Linked DNA regions of Tribolium castaneum. The protein of the gene in region 1 interacts with the protein of each later gene in a pairwise test. Links are inferred from orthologs where the notes say so. Each region holds a gene or a part of one and is shown on either strand. Other genes may lie near its edges. The genes, in order: Naa35 and N-alpha-acetyltransferase 30.

What was found.
Region 2: the proteins of Naa35 (region 1) and N-alpha-acetyltransferase 30 interact in a two-hybrid assay, tested with the Drosophila melanogaster proteins (2 studies listed by BioGRID). The link is inferred for Tribolium castaneum from reciprocal best matches to the Drosophila melanogaster genes Naa35 and Naa30A.

Annotation. Positions count from the first base shown.
Region 1 is NC_087403.1:266,638-270,990, reverse strand, and holds the start of Naa35 (N-alpha-acetyltransferase 35, NatC auxiliary subunit), read left to right. Parts: upstream 1-1,298; 5' UTR 1,299-1,514; coding exon 1,515-1,531; intron 1,532-1,579; coding exon 1,580-1,662; intron 1,663-1,714; coding exon 1,715-1,863; intron 1,864-2,252; coding exon 2,253-2,476; intron 2,477-2,522; coding exon 2,523-2,667; intron 2,668-2,715; coding exon 2,716-2,893; intron 2,894-2,944; coding exon 2,945-3,126; intron 3,127-3,171; coding exon 3,172-3,244; intron 3,245-3,378; coding exon 3,379-3,479; intron 3,480-3,526; coding exon 3,527-3,667; intron 3,668-3,712; coding exon 3,713-3,888; intron 3,889-4,029; exon of another isoform or gene 4,030-4,030; coding exon 4,031-4,238; exon of another isoform or gene 4,239-4,285; coding exon 4,286-4,353. UniProt on the Drosophila melanogaster protein: Auxillary component of the N-terminal acetyltransferase C (NatC) complex which catalyzes acetylation of N-terminal methionine residues.
Region 2 is NC_087402.1:5,497,293-5,501,113, reverse strand, and holds N-alpha-acetyltransferase 30, read right to left. Parts: upstream 2,240-3,821; coding exon 1,574-2,239; intron 1,529-1,573; coding exon 1,211-1,528; 3' UTR 663-1,210; downstream 1-662. Other genes in the region: ESF1 homolog, read left to right, coding at 1-626; cytochrome c oxidase assembly factor 6 homolog, read left to right, coding at 2,820-3,077; Sbat (N-alpha-acetyltransferase 38, NatC auxiliary subunit), read right to left, coding at 3,354-3,665, 3,713-3,805.

The DNA.
Region 1 (4,353 bases):
TATTTGCATTAAATTTTGAGCAAGCCACTTTCATTCATTGAAATTAAAGACAAAATTATTACGTGGCAATTAATTATTTGAGTGTTTTATTTTATTTATAGTTACTGTATTTAAAATGTGTCACTCAAAATATCACTTTTCAACACCGCATTTAAAGATTTTAATTGCATTTAAGTTTTATGAAATTATTGGTTTGTGAAATAAATAAATACGACACAGCAATAAAATACACCTACCTTCATATCGCTTCCACGTTGGCTACCGTTTGTAGCATTAAAAAAAATAATAATAAAAATGAAACCAAAAAAATGTTTATTTGCATTAAATTTTGAGCAAGCCACTTTCATTCATTGAAATTAAAGACAAAATTACGTGGCAATAAATTATTTGAGTGTTTGATAATAATTTTATTTACTGTATTTAAAATGTGTCACTCAAACGCGATCACTAGCCACCGAATTGAAAACTTAAACCGGAAAATTTAGATTTGCTTGAACACACGTCCGTTCGCGACAACGGCAAGTAACAAACTGAATAAATTGAACGAAACCGCACAATACACAATAATTTAAATAAACCGACTCACCTCGCTTCGCCTCGCCTCCCGCTCCCGCTCGCGATCTGACCCGTACCACTGCTCGCTGTCGACTGAACCGCCCTCGCCGCCTGCGCCGCACACCTAACCTCGGATGTGACGTCATCACACGTCTAAAACAGGTCATAACCAGAAACATTCACTGTTCAAATCCGTCAAATTTAGAAACATTCATACACAGAATTATTCAAAATAGAACAGTATTGATCTAGAAAAATTAATTATGACAAATGTATTTGTGTATAAACGTCTAAAATTATAAAAGTTTCGCATGCAGTTAATGGAAAAATAAAAATGCATGTTTATATTTAAACAGAAACTGGCAATGTGAAATTTTAGTGCGAAAATTAGTGGTAGAGCTCGGAAACTCTGTAAACGACCACGATAGGCGGAGCCAATGCGTACTTCATCGAGTGAGGAGATTGAGCAGTGGCGTAGCAAAAAACTATTCTATGATCAAGAAGGGTTTGAGATTCATAATTTGTAGTAGTTAAAATTTCCTCTATTCAATAATTGCAAGATGAAATAGTAAAAATCATATCTAATGCTAATACACTTGATTTCCTAGAAATACAAAGCAGAGAGGTCGAATAAATAAAAATACACAATGAGTAAAGAGTAAAAACGCGTTTATTGCAAAAAATGTTTCTACTGGTATCTTTACTATAACTGGTAATATTGAAATGTTAAACTTTAAGACGAATTTCCTACACATGTAAGTACACGCCACGCCACTGTTTTCTGCCAACACCCCTAATTTAAAGATTGGACTCGTCCGAGACGAGTTTTCGTCTCTGCGCACTCCTACCACCGTGGACGATCTGTCATTTCGCGGACTCTACCAATATTAGTAACAAAAAGGGTTGTTGCCAACCTGACGGCGAAGTCACATAATCCCAGACAAATCACCTAAAAAATTATGGAATATTCAGATTCGTGAGTATTTCTTCCCGAATTTGCCCATTTGTTGCAATTCCGTTTCAGGGAATGTAACGGGGAAACTTTAGATAAGATATTGATGTACAAATGGGCTGACATAACCTCAGAATTTAAGGATGCAGTTATAGGTATTTTGCACCAAAACCAAGGCAACAATTTTTTGTTAAATGAGAGTTCCAGACTTAGGCATGGGCGAGTTATTGCACGACAATTTGTTTGGGCTTTTTGAGGCCATGTCAGCGATTGAGATGATGGACCCCAAAATGGACGCTGGGATGGTTTGTAACAGGGGGGCGCGCAAAGCCAAGACACTCAGCCAGACAATTGAGGTTACAAGCTTTGATTTTTTCCCAAATTATAATTTTTTCTACAATCGACATAAAGTTAACAGATTGCTGTTATAGTAATGTCATCTCACGTCTTAAAAAAAACGGGCAACTAATACCAAAAAAACGCAAAATAAACGGCTTATTTATAATAATTATAATATATATATATAATATAATATACTTGAATAGTATATTAGAAACAAGTTTTATAAGACGAGTCTTGAAGTACGAATTCAACTTCAAAAACATAGTGGCGTCAGCCACTAGCTATTTGAATGAATGAGTGCTTCAAGATCTTATGAAACGAATTTTTTCTACTGTTTTTTTTTGTAATTTGCTCTTTTTTTACCGTTCTTAAACAAAAATCGATATTAGCTATTGTGTTACAGGAGGGTATATTGCAATTGGATGATTTCTCGTACGAAAAAATGATCGGGATTATTGACACTACACTGGCTTGTATCGTTTCGTGGTTAGAAGGTCATTCGTTGGCTCAAACCGTTTTCACTAATCTTTATTTACATAAGCCTTACAGCATAGAAGACAGGACTATGAAAGCTTTCTGCCTCATGGTGTACAAACTATTGGAAATAATTAAGCATTTTGTGCACAAGTGAGTAATGCTGAAATCAAATTTGTGTTTCATTTTCTGGCCATAGAGCCATGGTTTACGAAGAAGAGGACTTCCAACCGATGCAATACGGCTACCACCTCAATCCTGACATCTCCGAACAGAGAATTATCGGAATGTTACGCGAAGTTGAAGAGGAATTACATCGGAAAATTCGGTCGAAACAATCATCTGTAATTACAGGTCCCTGTAATTGTTTTATCTAAATTTGTTTTTTTAAGAGTGAAATTCAAGCTGTTCACGCACGCATTAAATTCATGCGAGTGTTTTACCAAGCTTTGACGCTGATGAGGCGCGAGGACCAGCCCCCTGCCATCACCGACTGCCAAAGACTGCTGCTCACAGCGTCTGACCAATTAATTATCATGAAAGAAACGGTCGATTTGGGGCTCCAATCAGGTTAAATCTTGATTAAAAGTTGCAAAAAAATCATATTTATCCTAATACTAGGTGATAACGAGTTAATTCCGGGCTTTGAACCCTTAATAAACCAGCGATTGTTACCCCCAACGTTTCCTCGCTACACCAAAATTAAGCCGAGGGGCGAAGCCCTCAACTATTTCTCAGACATGGTCGACAGGTTTAAAACCATAACAAAAATCCAGTCAATAACGTCGCTACACCAAGTTATAGTAAGTTGGTTTGGAAATCAATCGCAACTATAGTTTTTTTGGTAGGATTTCTTCATTGATTTTAGTAAAACTAGTCCGTGTTTGCTGTCTCGGTCAGCTCTTCAGTTACTATATCAAGGTATGCCCCAAAATTATTAAAACTGAAAATATTTTGTTCTCACAAAAGTGCTGAGAAATTACCTAAAACTGGATGAAAAACAATATTTTCAGTCAATTATTCCGTAATTTTGCCACTATTTGAATGTGTCATAGGGACAAACCCGTGCGCCTTGCGTGACATTTTAAAGGAAGCAGTGAAGACGTTCATATGCCCACCTGCGTTGGTCTCAAAATCGATTCTTTCGAACCAACAAGTAGTGTAAAAACATTGTTTTTTTGTCAATAACTTGTCTATTTCTAGGCCAAAAAATACGTGGAGACGTTTTTGGCTCATTGTACGCGACCTTTCGCTAGTTTTTTACAACTTTGTGGCCACAACAGGGCCAGACAAAGAGACAAGTTGGCTCATTTACTTGAAGAGTTTACTAATCTACAAGATGAGGTAATTGTGTGATTATTAAGAGTAAGAAATAATTGTTTTTTCTAGGCTGAACGAGTCGACGCTTATTTACATAATATATCGGTCAATTCGACCTCACGGCCACATTTGGCATGTTTCGGTACTTGGATTTTGTACCACACGCTCAAAATTATGATTATGTACTTACTGGCAGGGTTCGAGTTGGAACTCTACAGCAGGCACGAATATTACTACATTTATTGGTAATTTTAATGCTCTTTTTCGTTAAATTATTCAATTTGATTAATAATTTGGATACGAGTTCAGGTACTTGAGTAACATTTTACCCATTTTTTAAACGCCACAAGAATAATAAGTATAAACTTAGCATTTGAACGGTTTCAGGTACTTGTACGAGTTTTTATACGGGTGGCTGGTGTCGGCCCTTTCACGGGCTGATAGTTTTCTAGTCGAAAACGAGCTCATAAACGAGTTACAAAAGTCGAAAAACACGTCGAAAAAGAAACCGAAACACAAGAGAAAACCAAGGCCCTACAATCGGGACATTGTTTATTACCAGGCGTTACAGAACATGTGCGGCGGTTACTACAAAGTAAACATTGCGTATTAATTGTGCACTTTTAATTGGGCTAATTGCAGGCTTTGATGGGCTTCCGATTGGACGGGAAACTGACGATGCCCCACCCCCAGTTCGATAACGAACAAGT
Region 2 (3,821 bases), on another chromosome or scaffold:
AGTTGGTAAAGAAGAAGATTGAAAATGAGGAAGAAAAGACACCATTCCAGAAATATCTCGATAAACGGAAAGAAAAACGCAAAGAGAAGAAAAAGAAGAAGCGGGAAAATGAAGATTCGGATGATGTACCGTCTGATATTGATATGAACGATCCGTATTTCGCCGAGGAGTTTAACAATCCCGAATTTAAGAAAAAGAAAGTTAAGGAGAAGAAATCTCAGTCGGAAGAAGAAAATAATCCTGAATTGGAGTTACTTTTGGCTGATGAAGATGACGATAATAAGAAGCACTTCAGTTTGAAGAAAATTCAGAAGCAAGAAGAAGCGACTAGTAAGAAAAAACGCAAACTCAAAGAAACAGACGAGAAGGACGATTTTCAAGTCGATGTTAATGATGATCGGTTCTCTGCCCTCTTTACGAGTCATTTGTATAATATTGATCCCACGGACCCCCATTATAAGAAGACGAAAGGTATGGAGAGACTAATAAATGAGAAAATCAAAAGGCGGAAAGACGATAGCGAACGTGAAATGACGGAGAAGCCGATGAAAAAAGATGCCGAGTTGAGTGTTTTGGTAAAGTCAGTGAAACGGAAAGCTGAAGCGTTGAGTAATAAGAAAAAGTGACTTGTAAGCAAATGTCTTTTTTATGTAAATAAACGGTCCTTATAAATTTTGGTATATTATTCAATCATTACAACACATTTTTAATGCTTTTATCATACAGTAAAATTATATACAGTTTTTACAATTACTGACAAACAATGTTCTATATATTAAAAAGAAACATTCATGTAAGCACACATCAGTAATTCTAGTTTAAATATTTTCCTCAGCTTATGTCAGTATGAAATTGTTACAAAAGCTCAGATATTTCGACACCCTGATTAAATGAACATCCAAAGTTACACATTCATTTATCTACACTTAAGTCATACAAAATCAACGTACAAAACCGATGGAGGTGGTGATGCGCAAGATAAAAAAAATTTCGAAGGAAACTATTTTTATTACTTTTTGGACTACATCTTTGGAAGACAAACAAACTCTAGTCCAGACGTCTGAATCGAACGAATTTGGCGTTTATGAGAAAAGAACGTACAACAAACAAACAACAAGAATAAAATTCTGAATATTCAACTAATTTAACAAACTCACACCATACCCTGAGCATATGGCAACAAATACAACCATTTCACCGATTAAGATCCTCATCTTAGCCACAGTTTCAGCCTCAGAGCATCGACGCCGTTTAAATAATATCGAAACAAACGTTTGTCCCGGACAAAGCCTAGGGCTTCATACAACTGCAAAGCCGGTTTATTTGTCACTTCCGTCTCGAGCACTACTTCGTCGGCGTCGCCGACGATCATCTCCTGGATAGCTCTCCGCACCAGGGTGGACCCAATGCCCAATTTTCGGTAGTTTTGGTCCACCGCCAACATCGCGATGTAGCCGCGCTTCAGCACTTTGCGGTGAGCGTCCAGCTTGCAGACGATGGCGCCCACGCAGTTATCCTCGCACATTGCCTGAAGAAAACCAAAAATATTTTGCGGTGAGTTTTGGAGACTCACCAGAAAGCAGAGTTTCGGCCAGTTGTGGATGAAGTACCGGTAGGTGTAGATGGAATAGGGTTCGGAAAGGTCTTTTTGGATAATTTTCATAATCATTGGCATTTGCAATTCGGATTCGTACTGAACGTACTGAATGGGTGGCAGCTCGCGCTTGGGCGCCAGCTCCACACCCTTCAGGTCCTCCACTATGTCTGATATTTTGTCGTCGCTAGAACTAGTTGCTTTATTACTACAAGACGCTATCGAGTCCTCGTTCGTAATTGTACTATTATTGCTTAAATTAAATGATACGTCTGATTCCTGACTGGGGTCTAGCATCTTTTCGTGATTCGAAATGTTGTCATTTGAATCTAATTTGGTAAGTTTCGACTTCAAGTCTTTGTTAATGCCCTCGTCTTCGCGCGCTTTGTCTCTTGAGGTTTCTTTCTGTGGTTTAGGTTGCGTACTTTTATGTGAATTTTCATTGTTGCTGGGGATTATGTGCTCCTTGCCGCTGCCTTTGGTTGAGTCTTGTGCATTGTTCACTAGTCCGTTCACCAAGCCGTTCTTCGAGTGCTTCTTTTTCAAATTCGTATCTTTCGCCTTTCCATTTAGATCATTTTTTGGTTCACAATTCGTTGAAGTGCACTTTTTTGATTTATTTATCTTATTACCGTTCTTGTTCATTTTCCCATTTATTTCTTGCTTTGCAAATAAATAATCTAAATGATAGCATAATACAAATTATTTTTTACTTTTGCTCTAAAATAAACTCGCTAAAGCAGACATATTGACAGAAAATCAACAGGGATTTTTAGGTTATTTCCACTCTTGCTGCTGTCAATTTTTTCTCTTTCCTGGAAGGAGAAAAAGGGCCCCCTTAAATTGACTCAACTGCGCGTATTGATCAGGTAACCATTTTACCACTACCCTTCACCAAAGTTACCCCACTCACCTGCCGCAAAGTTATTTAATTCCATTCAAACTTGGCCTAAACATAACCTAAGAAAATTGATTGACCAATGTCTGGTTACATAAAGCCTCGTTCCATTGGTACACATGACCCACGCGCCACTTTCGAAAAACACTTCAGAACACTTATTTATACTTTTCGCACGTGGGTCCCCTGCTTGCGTAAAGTGCGGATTTATTATCACGACTGTCAGCACGCTCTATTTTTAGAAAGGGAAATATTTTTAAATTATTTGATTCACTTAAACTCTCAATATTTTGCCAAAAATTTCCTATTAATTTATTTTATTCAGTCATGTCGTTCCCAACGAAGGAAGATCGCAACTTGTGTTGGGGTGCGCGGGATCGGTATTGGGAGTGTTTAGATAAAAACGGAATCATTGATAGTAAAGATGACAGAGGACCATGTCTCGAATTCAGAAAACTGTACGAAAAATCGTGCTCAGCTCAGTGGGTCAAGCATTTTGATCGAAGACGGAATTACCTACAGTTCAAGGAAAAGATAGAAAAACACGGGTACGAACCGCTTGATGAGAGAAGCCCAGAACATTAGCTTGTTTTGTTTATTAATTCTAGAATAACTGCTTTGTAAATATAGTTTCAATAAAACTAATCAGTCAGTAACACGTTTTTTTATTTCAGAATCCCAAACAAATCAACAGATGGTGTTAAAATATTCGAGAAACGAAGAGTTTATCATGACATTGCCTGTTTATAGCGTAAAAAACAGATTATATTATATTTATTTTTGCTAATATTTCATTTATTCACTTGCACATAACGCATTTTTTGTATTACACAATAAATAAAGCACTGCAAAGGTACAACTCTATGTAACTTCCTCTGGGTTAATGTCTTTAGTTAAGGGGGCACTTAATTCGCCTGCATTGTGCTGATTTAGATTAATTGCGACGCTCTGTATATGTTTGCCTGGTACCATTACCAAACCCAGCATCCTTGGTTCCTCAATTGTACCATCACCGTTATCCTCAGCTGGTAAATATTCAGTACAAGAACCTAAAATTACATTGGCGTCTCTGTCAGTGCACAGAAAGACACCGACTAAGACACGGCCATCAAACATCTGGATTCTGAGGGACTTGTTGAGCCAACTACGCAATTTAACAGCACCTGGGGACATCTGATGCGAACAAATTAGAGGAGTGGAGAAAATTGTTAAATTATTACGTTTAAAGGCTTTTGGGGCTTGTCCTCGGGGGGCGCCTGCTGCGGTATTTCTTCTGACTCATTTTCAACCAGCGCACTTGCGGTGTCATTCATTATTTTTTTAATAATC